Drosophila melanogaster: one gene and its partners. The protein of the gene in region 3 interacts with the protein of the main gene of each other region in a pairwise test. Each region holds a gene or a part of one and is shown on either strand. Other genes may lie near its edges. The genes, in order: Cnep1r2, bond and Xport-A.

Region 1 (3,755 bases), on a different chromosome or scaffold from region 3:
TATTGAATTTTAGTTCAATTTCTTCTGTAAAATAGATTTGAACTCGTTCAAAACCGAACATTTTAGAAAACCAAAACATTTATGTTCTTTGTTCAATATTGCTCTTTATTAAAAGTTAAAGGCGGTTTAAGATCGATGAAGTTGCCGTCACGCCTTGCTCCAAATGGAGATGTCTAGCCGCAGCAGGCGACGTCATCGTGCTTGTGCTGAGCCTGAACGTCCTCGGCGAAGTGAACGCTGCGGACCACCGGGTGGTGGTGATGGTCATCGCCAACCATGGGGGCCTCGTTGTTCAGTTGGGGAAGGGCTAGAATGTATGGGAAGCAGTTAAGTAGAGCTGTTGTCGAGCGTAACCCATTGCAATCCTTGCCAGAGGCCATGAAGAAGGCGAGGCCCAGGATGAGAGTGCACACGAGTAGGAACTTCATGGTAAAGCTGGTTTGTTGTACAGATGGCTTGCTTGCTTCTGATGCCTTGGAACTGCACAGACTCCCTATTTATACAGAATGCGGCTCGATAAAAACCGCTCCAAATATACAAAAACACTTGTCGTTGCACAATTTGCGAGCAACTCGTTAGTTATAGATGAATTGATATTGAAATGTCGCTTGGTGTATTTGGCAGCGATGGGTAACGCCATTAACGAAACACATAAAGCTTAACAATTGATTTCTTTTCTTTTTGTTTTTTTGTACAAAGGAGCTTCTATAATTAAACAAAATGTGTAGGGGAGAAATAAGAGGTACTTTAAAAATACGCTTACAAAGCGAGGGTGTCCGAATCAACATGTAGGAAAAAAGAAAAGGGTAAGGGAACTAGCAATTAACTAAATAAACGTCCTGGAAGCTGGCCGGTGCTCATGTACTGTTGTTGTTACTTTGCCGCGGCTTGAGTATCAGCTTCCCCGTGTCGTCACAGCTCATATTAAAGTCTCCCAGTACCATTCGCGTTCTCGATGTAATTATTTGCGGAGCTATGACTAGTTTCTGTATGCCCAGGATGAACAGGACGACTGCGGAGAGAAATGATAAGGTTTACAAAATCAGTAAGTCAGTTTCAAACCAAAAAAATTAGATTAGATTAAATGGAAGTGTTTGTTAGCTGAAAATTCTTAATCAGTTGGACTATCAATATTGATATATACAAATCGAATTTGATAAAGCGAAGAGCTTTGACAAGATTAAAGGCAACCTAATGTTGCTAAAATTTGGAGAATGTACTTATGTAGTTTGCATAGATGTGATAGATATAAGGAGTGTATTCTACTCAAAATAACAGTAGAAATACCTAAAAATTTGAAATTCTTGATTTTGATCCTTTCTTTTTACCGAGTAGCCTGAGATAACCTGATATATAGTATCGACTTGCTCTACGATATGATTATATGGATTTAAATAGCATGGTATGGCTTGGTATTAAAATTATTCTCCATACTAGGTAGAATATCCGAGGTTCAATGACCGCCGCTGTTGACTACAAAAAGTGACCTATGTACGGAGTACAGTAGTGGCTACACCGATTCTTACCCAATGTTAGGGTGGCGACTGTGAAGACGGGATGAATCCAGAGGGACTCCGTTAGCGGTACAACGGTGGTGCGCGGATCGCGTAGCCAGTACCAGGCGCTGATGGCGGTGCACATGGACATGGCGGAAAGGACAACTGCAAGAAGCTCTATGGTTATTACGGATTGTAATGCTCCCTGGTGTTCTCATTATACGGATGCAACTTACTGCGCCAGCGGAACGTCGAGGGACGGTACGATGAAACCACTTCGGTGAGGCGCCGCTCGAAGGCCTTGAGATCTGCAGAGGAGCGAGGAAAACAAACCCAGTTATGGTTGGTAAACATAGTCAGTGGCTTGCGCGTTTTCCGGCTCTCTTTTGCCGGCGAGTTACATACCTTCGCAGGCTGACGGTTCCATTGCAGCTATTTCCTCAAAGCTCGTGGCCGTCTTAATGCGATTAAATTTGTCCAGTTTAAATATTATTGTATTTATTATTATTATTTGATGAGGTTCTCATAGCTTTCTTTTCCTCTTTTTATGTTTTTGATGACATTCCACGTTTGAGAGCACTGATAACGGGCTGCGTTTCTCAACACTACACAAAGCAGGGTCGTACCAAAGAGGGGCTCTTTGTTTATTTCCTACTTTCAGTACAAAATGGTTGTATAGCTAATTTAAAGTGAGTATTATATTTATGTATTATTTATATTATATTTATATTATTTTAATACAAAAATATCATAGTTTTTATTATAATATAAATATAATTAATGGCTTACCGGACAAATTAAGTACCCACTAAATGGTCTTCTACATACACCCATGTGTCTAAGTTATTCTTCCTGCAGTACAACGGTCACACTGCGGCAGCTGTTGCAAAAAAAGGCGGATAATATTTGTAGCAAAATCAGTGTTTTTTATACGTAAAATCAACAAATATAAAGTCCCTCGAAGGCATTATGAATAGCACTAAAGTGCCGCCCGAGTGGAAGAGGCGTGTCAAGTCGGAGTACATCAAAATCAGGCAGCAGAAGCGCTACAAACGTGCCGACGAGATCAAGGAGGCGTGGATAAGAAACTGGTAAGCGCGGGAGAGATGGTGGATGTCTGGGAATCGAAAATCTATGTACACATATCCTCCAGGGACGAGCACAACCACAATGTACAGGATCTGTACTGCGAGTCGAAGGTTTGGCAGGCTAAACCCTACGATCCGCCGCATGTGGACTGTGTGAAGCGGGCGGAGGTGACTAGCTACAATGGCATTCCCAGCGGTCCGCAAAAGGTGCCCATTTGCGTGATCAACGCGGTCACTCCCATACCCACCATGTACACGTGGGCACCAACACAGCAGAACTTCATGGTGGAGGATGAGACGGTGCTGCACAATATACCCTATATGGGCGACGAGGTCCTCGATAAGGATGGCAAGTTCATAGAGGAACTGATCAAAAACTACGATGGCAAGGTTCACGGCGACAAGGATCCCTCGTTCATGGACGATGCCATCTTCGTAGAACTGGTGCACGCCCTTATGCGCTCCTACAGCAAGGAACTGGAGGAAGCCGCTCCGGGTACAGCGACTGCCATTAAAACAGAGACGTTGGCGAAATCAAAACAGGGCGAAGATGATGGGGTAGTTGATGTTGACGCAGATGGTGAATCTCCCATGAAGCTTGAGAAAACCGACAGCAAAGGGGATCTGACTGAAGTTGAGAAGAAGGAAACTGAAGAACCGCTGGAGACTGAAGATGCGGATGTTAAGCCCGATGTGGAAGAAGTCAAGGACAAGCTGCCCTTCCCTGCGCCCATTATTTTTCAGGCCATCAGCGCTAACTTTCCAGACAAGGGCACCGCGCAAGAGCTCAAAGAAAAGTATGTAATTTGATAACCAGGTTAGTAAATATCCCTTCTTACGGCTTTTTCTTTTTGCTAGGTACATTGAGCTTACGGAGCACCAGGATCCGGAGCGCCCACAGGAGTGCACACCCAACATTGACGGCATCAAGGCCGAGAGCGTTTCCCGGGAAAGGACTATGCACTCCTTTCACACGCTCTTCTGTCGTCGTTGCTTCAAATACGACTGCTTCCTGCACCGTAAGTTAAACGATGGGAACTGCTGCCAGCTGGGTTACCTAATGACTTTACGTTTTGTTTTTGCTTTTCTTTTCTTGTTTGGAAACAATATTATCTTACCAAAAAACACAAATCTGTACCATTTCTTAAACCCCCAAAAAAAAAAACGAAAT
Region 2 (3,755 bases), 2.6 Mb from region 3:
GCATTAGTCTTTCATCTGCGCATATGTCTATATGTAAATGTATCTGTATCTGCTGCTGCGATTTAAACGTTGTTAATGTGCCACCAGTTTAAATCAGCAAGTTTTGCATGTTTCTTTTTTTTTGCAACTTTGCGCCTAGAAGCTCAGGTATTTCGTGTGTTATGTCGCCACGTGTGTACACCAGAAAAAAAAAATATGATTTGTGTTTGGAAAATCCCAAGTACATGCAATTTATGATAGTAAACTAGTCTTGGTTTAAATATTTTTTTATTATTTTCCTTTCTGTTGCAGAACTCCTCAAAATGATATAGCTACATATATGCTGTGTAAATTGCAGTCCAATGGGGCGGATGTTTTTCTATAGATTACAGACAGCACGATTTTCACACGCACTTGAGTGTTCGCCGAATGACAACAATTAGCCATGTGAAATTCCCGAATACATTAGCCCATTGAAGTTTGGAAATGTGGTAGGTGTTGCGATGCAATCGAATGGATCCATAGAATCATGAGTACTGAGTAGATCGGGTAGGGTATGTAAACGGGTCGAGCACCCTGAAAATTGTTTAATTTTTTTTTCCACATTGTTATTTTCCCGACGTGGCTCCAGAGTGCAACAGGTTAATCATTTAGTTTTGCCTGTGTCAAGTGCACATGTTTTATGGTTTCATGCTTGCTTAGCGCTGTAAATTAATTTTTTTTTTTTTGCCAGCCGAGGCATTTACAGAGGAGGCACAAAAACGCGTCGAGTCAGCCAGCAGTTGGCAAACCGCAGAAACGCCACATAGATACATCCATAACTATAACCCACACGGTAAGAAAATGTTTTAAAATGCGATTAAAACTAAGCTTAGCAAATTCCCTAGCTAATTGCTTTTTGAGACATATATGAAAGTATATATAAATAGTTCAAAAAATCTGTTTGGCTATCAACAAAACTGTTTAGTTCAATTTTCGTTAAAATAAAATATATTAATATTATTTAGGAAACGCGAAAGATGACTTAAAAACCTTTTTCCCCTGTGCGTCTTAAGCCAGAGTTTGTTGCTGGTGACTTTTTGGGCCGACTGACAACCTTTAATTACTCTGTAAATATTTGCGGCGTTAATTGGATTTTTTTCCTGGCCCAAACGAAACCCTCTGCGTCTGTCTGTGTTGTTGTCGTTAGAAACTGTAACGGATATGGGCCGTGGTCTCTTCGTGGGAACAGCGACTTCTAATCTGTTTGCCTAACCATGAAATGTGGTCATCTTCGTGAGGGGGAGTGTTCAGTTTGGCCATAGTGTCAGGCGGCCATTTGCTTGGTGCTATTGAAGGCCATTTGGCTAGTGCAGCTGCAAATTGAATCGCAATCGATTACAAGTTCAAATCGTTTAGATTTGGCCGCCTCAATGCTGCAGCCAGAGTCTTGGCCTTGGCTGACTGGCAAAATTGCAGCTCCTCAAGCGAGTTTTCAGCATTTAATCTATGTACGATGCATTGGGTTAAGGTCGACGAGAAATATCAGACGGACCAATGGCGGTGGTGGCAGCAAAGTTAGCCAGGCTTAGACCAGCCACTGCCAATCGAGCTCTCAGTTTTTTTTTTGTTTTTTTTTTTTTTTTGCCCAAGAACTGCTCTCCAATTTATGCAACACTTTCATCACGCCTTTAGGTTGCCCCAAAAAATGAATTCATATCACTTCCGTACCTGTTGGTTTTTCGGCTGACTCGATTCCCTGCTTGGAACTTGGCTAACACACACACGCACTGGCGCGCACACACACACAATCGCACTACGACCGTAGCCTGAAGATTCAGTTACAGTTTACGGACTCGAAACTCGAATTCGGATTCGGACTCGGACTCGGACTCGACTGCGGCAAACGCCAAGAAGACACTAATATGGAGTTCTACCCGCTCGGCTGTATAAATAAACAAAATGAACGCGCTTCGCAGGCCGGCCAACATTTGACGCCGCCGTCGCTGGCGACGCTGGCAGCGCAGTCGCGGCACGGCCCGCACGGCGTATACTTAACCTTTTTTTTTAGTTGATTTTTGCGTCACTCGGCCGGGTTCGATACGATGCAAGTCGAAGTTGCGTTAATGGCCAATTTAAGTTGCGCGGCGGTTTCTTTTTTTTTTTTTTTATTTTATTTTTGCTTTAGAAACATTTAGTTTTGGTTTTATCTTTACTGATTTTTTGGTGCTTTCTGGTGCTAAGGTCAAGTTTGAAGCCATTAAAATGAATGTCTGTGGCGAGAAAAGAAAGCAAAACTGCTAACAGCAGCAGATAAGCCATGCTTTTTCTTGGTTTATTTTGAACAAGTTTATTAACCCTTTCCCGGTTGGCCAAAAAAACATGCAGATCCTATCGCAAAAAGAGCGGCAAAAAGAAAACGAAAGCAAAGAGGGAAGCGAAAAAGTACACAGTAAAAACGAAATATACTTCAATATTAGTATACATGTATACATATACATATATATATTATGGTATATGTTTAGAATTTAACGAACATACATAGAACATACTATGAGAGACTCTAGTTCATCATCATAAATTGTTAACAATTTTATGAAAATCTGTTTGTATGCCACTGAAAGTGTTTGGAATGAATTTCTAAAAAAATATATACATGCACTTTATATTTATATATAATGTGTCGCGATTTTTAGACCGCACGATGGAGTTTATATTTTTATTATGTGCTTTGACCTTTCAGTGATAACTCAGGTTAATTGGATTTTGCGTCATCCTCGCCACTTTCGTTTGATACTGTGTTATTTCTAAAAAACATCTCTATAAAGAAATGCTTAAAAAATTAACTACATTTTTGTAATAAAAATAGTTCCATTAGACCCTTTAAAATTAACAAAATAGATATGGATAATATTTTATATATGTAAGTTCCTGACACCACTTTTCTTTCTGTGTGCCCATTTAAAAAAACATTTTTCTAAAAACATCTCTATAAAGAAATGCTTAAAAAATTATCTACATTTTTATAATAAAAATAGTTCCATTAGACCCTTTAAAAATAACCAAAATAATAACATTTTATATATAAGTTCCTGACACCACTTTTCTTTCTGTGTGCCAATTTCCAGCTACAAAATTGGCTTTAAATAAACCGCTAGACAATTGATTTATTATCGCCGTCACGTCATTGAGACGAACTCAATTGGCAGCATAGTTATAAGTGCTTATATATATATATATATATGTGCCAATGTGGGGGATGACACGCCCCAACTCCATAACCTGGCACTTAATTTAACTACGCAAATAGGGTTTACGGGCGCAGTTAACACATTTCCAGATCGATGGGAAGCGATTGTCCGTCCAATGAATGGGTCAATTTCACGCACTTACTCTCACCAGTCTCCCAGATTCCCAGGTGATTTGTGTGACCCATGGTGATCCATGTACTCCACCCACGTGCTAAGTGCCCGGTCAAATATGCAAATGTTTGCCGAGTTGGATGCACTGCAGCTGTGTTGGTCGCCACCCTTCCGGGTCTTTGGCATTTCCATTTCCATTTGAAGCACATTGGCCGTTTAGCATTTTTTGTCGCGCGCTCGTCATTCAAACAGAAACAGCTCGCATTATCGGCGCTTCTCTTTTGTGATTATGACCCTGAACTTCAGCGCTACTAAATGTATTAATTCAGTCGATTAATACCGCTAGTCGGGGTCTGTGCGAAATCTGCTCCTTGGCCGAGTTTCTAACGTAGCTGGTCAGAACGCCGAGAGCTGATGGATGATATTGGCCTGGAT
Region 3 (3,672 bases):
AATGTGGATCTCTTATGAAATTGGTAATACCTAGCTCTTAATCACATACTGACCTCCTTAAATCAAATGATACTTAAGATATCTTCAGCTTTGTGGTATCTTCAAAACTCTACACTTTGTGCCACAAAACGAATACCTGAACACAAGCGATTTGTAGACAGCACTTATTATAAACCAAATGGCATAACTTCCAAGTCAAATACCTAACTACTTTATATCTCCATATAACTATTTTTCACGAGATGCTTCAGATGCAAACTAGCAATGACCAGATCTGGATTGAATAGAGCTTACTTACAGACCAAATCGATATATATTCCATGATATTTATAGAGATTAGTATGTTTATAAAGTTTTGTGAATAGGTTAGTAAGTGAGCTAATGCTGGAGACACACGAATATATTCTGCAAACATTTAAATAAAAAAGCTGAAAACCACAAGTTGGATAAATATTTCTATTGTTGTTCATAATGGTGGGATACAATGTAGAATTCGAATGTAGAGAGCAAGACAATTAAGTATGCAATACGGTTAGTAAGATATTTTATTCTACGAAACTCATATAAAACACACTAAGTATAATTGATACCATATATAATTAATTATAGGATGGGCTATCTTATGTTGCTCGTAACTAGGCAAACATCGAATGGTGGTAGAGTGCCGGTAATCTCCAAGAATCGTCGAAGGATGTGGCAATAGGTGTTTCCCATGGGCGGAGATTCAGTTCCTTCCGCCGGAATTCTAGCCACCTCGTCCGGAGTGTCCAGCTCCCTAACATAATCCATAAAGTTGTCCACATTGATGGGTGTCTCTGCCCTCGTCTTTGCTGGTTCCGTCTGCAACTTTCGCTGGAACTCACTTCTGTAGTAGTCGTTGATCATGGACATCATCCCCTTGGAATACCAGTAGATGATGCCAATCAAGAATAGGCCCTGCATGAATGGACCGACCATATTGTATGCTTCCACTTGATTTACTTATTTGTTCGATAGATCCTTTGGTTTCTACTGCTGATGCTCCTCGCGGAAGCTTTCAAGCCATTGATTAACCATGTAGAATTGCTCCTTGATGTGCGGCCAGGCCATGGTGACAATTAGCATTATGGTATTGGCGAAGACAAAGAGTTTCATCATTTCAAATGCTATTGGAAAGGGGTAATATTTATTAGTTAAATGAACTATATATTTTTAAGGAGCGAAAATTACAGACCCTCCGGAGTGCGAAGATAGTCGCCGAAGCCGGAATTTAGATCCTTGTCATCCTTCTCGTCCACCTTCTGCTCATGCTTATGCTTATCCTTCTCGTCTCGGCTCTTGCCCTTACCACCACCCTCGACTTTATCCTTGCCAGAGTGTCCTTTACCGTGCTTGTTCCTGCCGTATCCCGTGGATGAATTGGCAAAGGCCGATTTCTTCGGCTTCATTGCATCCAGATAGCAGCAGTTGGTCGGTCAGCCTGCACAGCACTGCATTTGATTGGAGTTGGTCCTGGAAGTGCTCTCCGCCTGGTGCTTCCTCGCCAACTGCTGCTCCGCAAATGACACAAACTTTGTGGTGCCAATTGGCGTGGCGCCGCTTCTGGCAATTTTATGGTTTCCATTTTATTGATTTGCGATTTCTGCTTGTCGCTCTGGCTGGGTGGGAATGGTGGGACAGGTGACCAAATAGAAATATGTTGTTAGTGGAGCAATGCGCTTGGATATTTAGCCGGGCATGTGTACTTATTATACCAGTCACACGAAATGTGTGTCAACTTGGTGGATGAAGGTGGTCGCCGGTAGGGTTGGTGTTTGTGGGTTTACATTGGTCCCAAATGGCTCTGGTTCCTGAAAGCTTATTTAAATATCATGCAAACCAGTTTTAATTTATTTAATGCCTTATTCTGCCAAATAGTTTATAATAGTTTTGCATTGATCTAATGTAAGCTTTACATTTTAAACAAACTACGTGTAGATGCCGAACTTTTGATTTATTCCCAAAAGTATGCAACCCAATATACATATTCGATTCGCGATAAGCGAATGTTTAATGAGCTAAATTCGAATACTGTTCGCGAATACTTGACACACACTACAACTAACTTATCAAATACGCCCAGACATATATTAAGTATACGTTATTACGTGAACGCAATAAGTTGCTGTCCCTTGTTTACCACAGCTCCGACCGGTGGCTGCTCCTTGTCCCGCGTGACCAGGCAACATGTGCCAAGGCCGCCCAGGATGACCAGCAGACAGAAGGCGGACAGGGAGAGGGCGGGGCTCACCTGCCTGAGCAGCGTGAGAAAAGAGGCGGAGAGCTGCCACACCCGCGCCCACGTGACGGCGGAGAAGGAGAGGCAACTACGCTGCTCCATTGGCACCAGTTCGCCCAGGCAGGCCAAAATCATGGACTGGGCGCAGGCTACGGCCGCCTGGGGAAGTGATGCCATTAGCAAGCCCAGCGTCAGTCCATACACCTCGGGCATATCCTCCTCGGCCAGGAACCAACAGATGCTACCGATGCAACCGACCACGATGGCAAATCCCCCCGCCCACTGCCACTTGCGTTCACTCAGGTTGAAGGTCAGGTGTAGGGCCAGGAAGCAGCCAAGCATCTCGGCCAGGCCCATGGCCAGTGTGTTGGACACCAGGTGCTCCCTGCCAAAGGACCGCACATGGAGCAGCAGCCCAGTGTTGACCACCATGAAGGTGGCAAGTGCCATGTGCACGGCCACCAAGTGGAAAGTACTCCTACGCTGGCCCATCCACAAGTGCATCCAATGCACGGCGGGCATTGGCTCCAGCATCCTTTCTCTCAGCTCCTCCAACTGCTGGGGTAACTCCTTGGACACTTTGTGCATTCTACCATTGGTACGGGCTGCTTCCAGCAGGATACCCACCGTTCGCTCGATGGCCAGTTGAGCTTCCTTGGTGTGTTGCAGCTGCCAGCGCGGTGAGTCCGGAGTCCAGGGTAGCAGAAAGACAATCACCAGCAAGGAAAGAGTTACGCCCAAGTATATGTGCTGCCAGCTGGGAGCATTGGAGGCCAAGCCAGGGAGCAGAATCAAGCCCAGAGCCCAGAAGCAGTCGTAAAGTATGAGGGTTCCTACGCGATATTTTCCCGCTGTTATGTCACCAACTGAAAAGTAGGTTATTTAATATTAAAGTATTCTTAAATATTCAATTTTACTTACATATATACTGCCCCGAGGTGATCATAAAACAGCACGAAACAGCAGCCAGGCATCGGAGTCCACAGTGCAGACTGAAGTCTTTGACAAGACCCATCAGTAGGCTGCACATGAGCAGGCACCAGATGCCAGTTCTATAAATCTGTCGGGGACTCAGGACCCGCATCAACTTGGTGGCCGCCACGCCACCGATTAGGAGGCCAAAGAGGTGCCAGTACTGAGACCAGGCCACAAAGAAGTCGCACAGACACACCAAATCGAACTCCATGGTCAGGGAGTGGAAACCCGTGGTGTAGAGGAACTTTCGACACTGGCGCATGGCGTAGGCGGACTCTCCGTAGTTAACCATCACATAGCAGTGGTCCAGCGAGACGGTGGAGTTGACATCCGGCCCGAAAGCCGTCGTATCACACTTGTACTCCTCCTCGGGGTACAGATCCGGCGCTGTGAACAGGATGCAGGCCATGAACCAGGCGGCTGGAATCTTGCAGAGAAAT

Evidence for each region.
Region 1: the proteins of Xport-A (region 3) and Cnep1r2 interact in a two-hybrid assay, tested with the Drosophila melanogaster proteins (one large-scale study listed by BioGRID).
Region 2: the proteins of Xport-A (region 3) and bond interact in a two-hybrid assay, tested with the Drosophila melanogaster proteins (one large-scale study listed by BioGRID).

Annotation. Positions count from the first base shown.
Region 1 is NT_037436.4:10,636,472-10,640,226, reverse strand, and holds Cnep1r2 (CTD nuclear envelope phosphatase 1 regulatory subunit 2), read right to left. Parts: upstream 2,082-3,755; 5' UTR 1,924-2,081; coding exon 1,902-1,923; intron 1,805-1,901; coding exon 1,733-1,804; intron 1,674-1,732; coding exon 1,527-1,673; intron 1,013-1,526; coding exon 858-1,012; 3' UTR 549-857; downstream 1-548. Other genes in the region: CG18628 (uncharacterized protein), read right to left, coding at 174-307, 371-428; E(z) (enhancer of zeste), read left to right, coding at 2,466-2,587, 2,650-3,381, 3,443-3,603. UniProt on the Drosophila melanogaster protein: May form with the serine/threonine protein phosphatase l(1)G0269 an active complex dephosphorylating and activating lipin-like phosphatases.
Region 2 is NT_033777.3:22,548,813-22,552,567, reverse strand, and holds the start of bond (james bond), read right to left. Parts: upstream 1,889-3,755; 5' UTR 1,690-1,888; intron 815-1,689; exon of another isoform or gene 713-814; intron 471-712; exon of another isoform or gene 292-470; intron 1-291.
Region 3 is NT_033777.3:19,913,868-19,917,539, forward strand, and holds Xport-A (exit protein of rhodopsin and TRP A), read right to left. Parts: upstream 1,546-3,672; 5' UTR 1,428-1,545; coding exon 1,214-1,427; exon of another isoform or gene 1,210-1,213; intron 1,146-1,209; coding exon 1,009-1,145; 3' UTR 958-1,008; coding exon of another isoform or gene 616-957; 3' UTR 529-615; downstream 1-528. Other genes in the region: Xport-B (exit protein of rhodopsin and TRP B), read right to left, coding at 616-957; CG4465 (uncharacterized protein), read right to left, coding at 2,123-3,123, 3,179-3,672.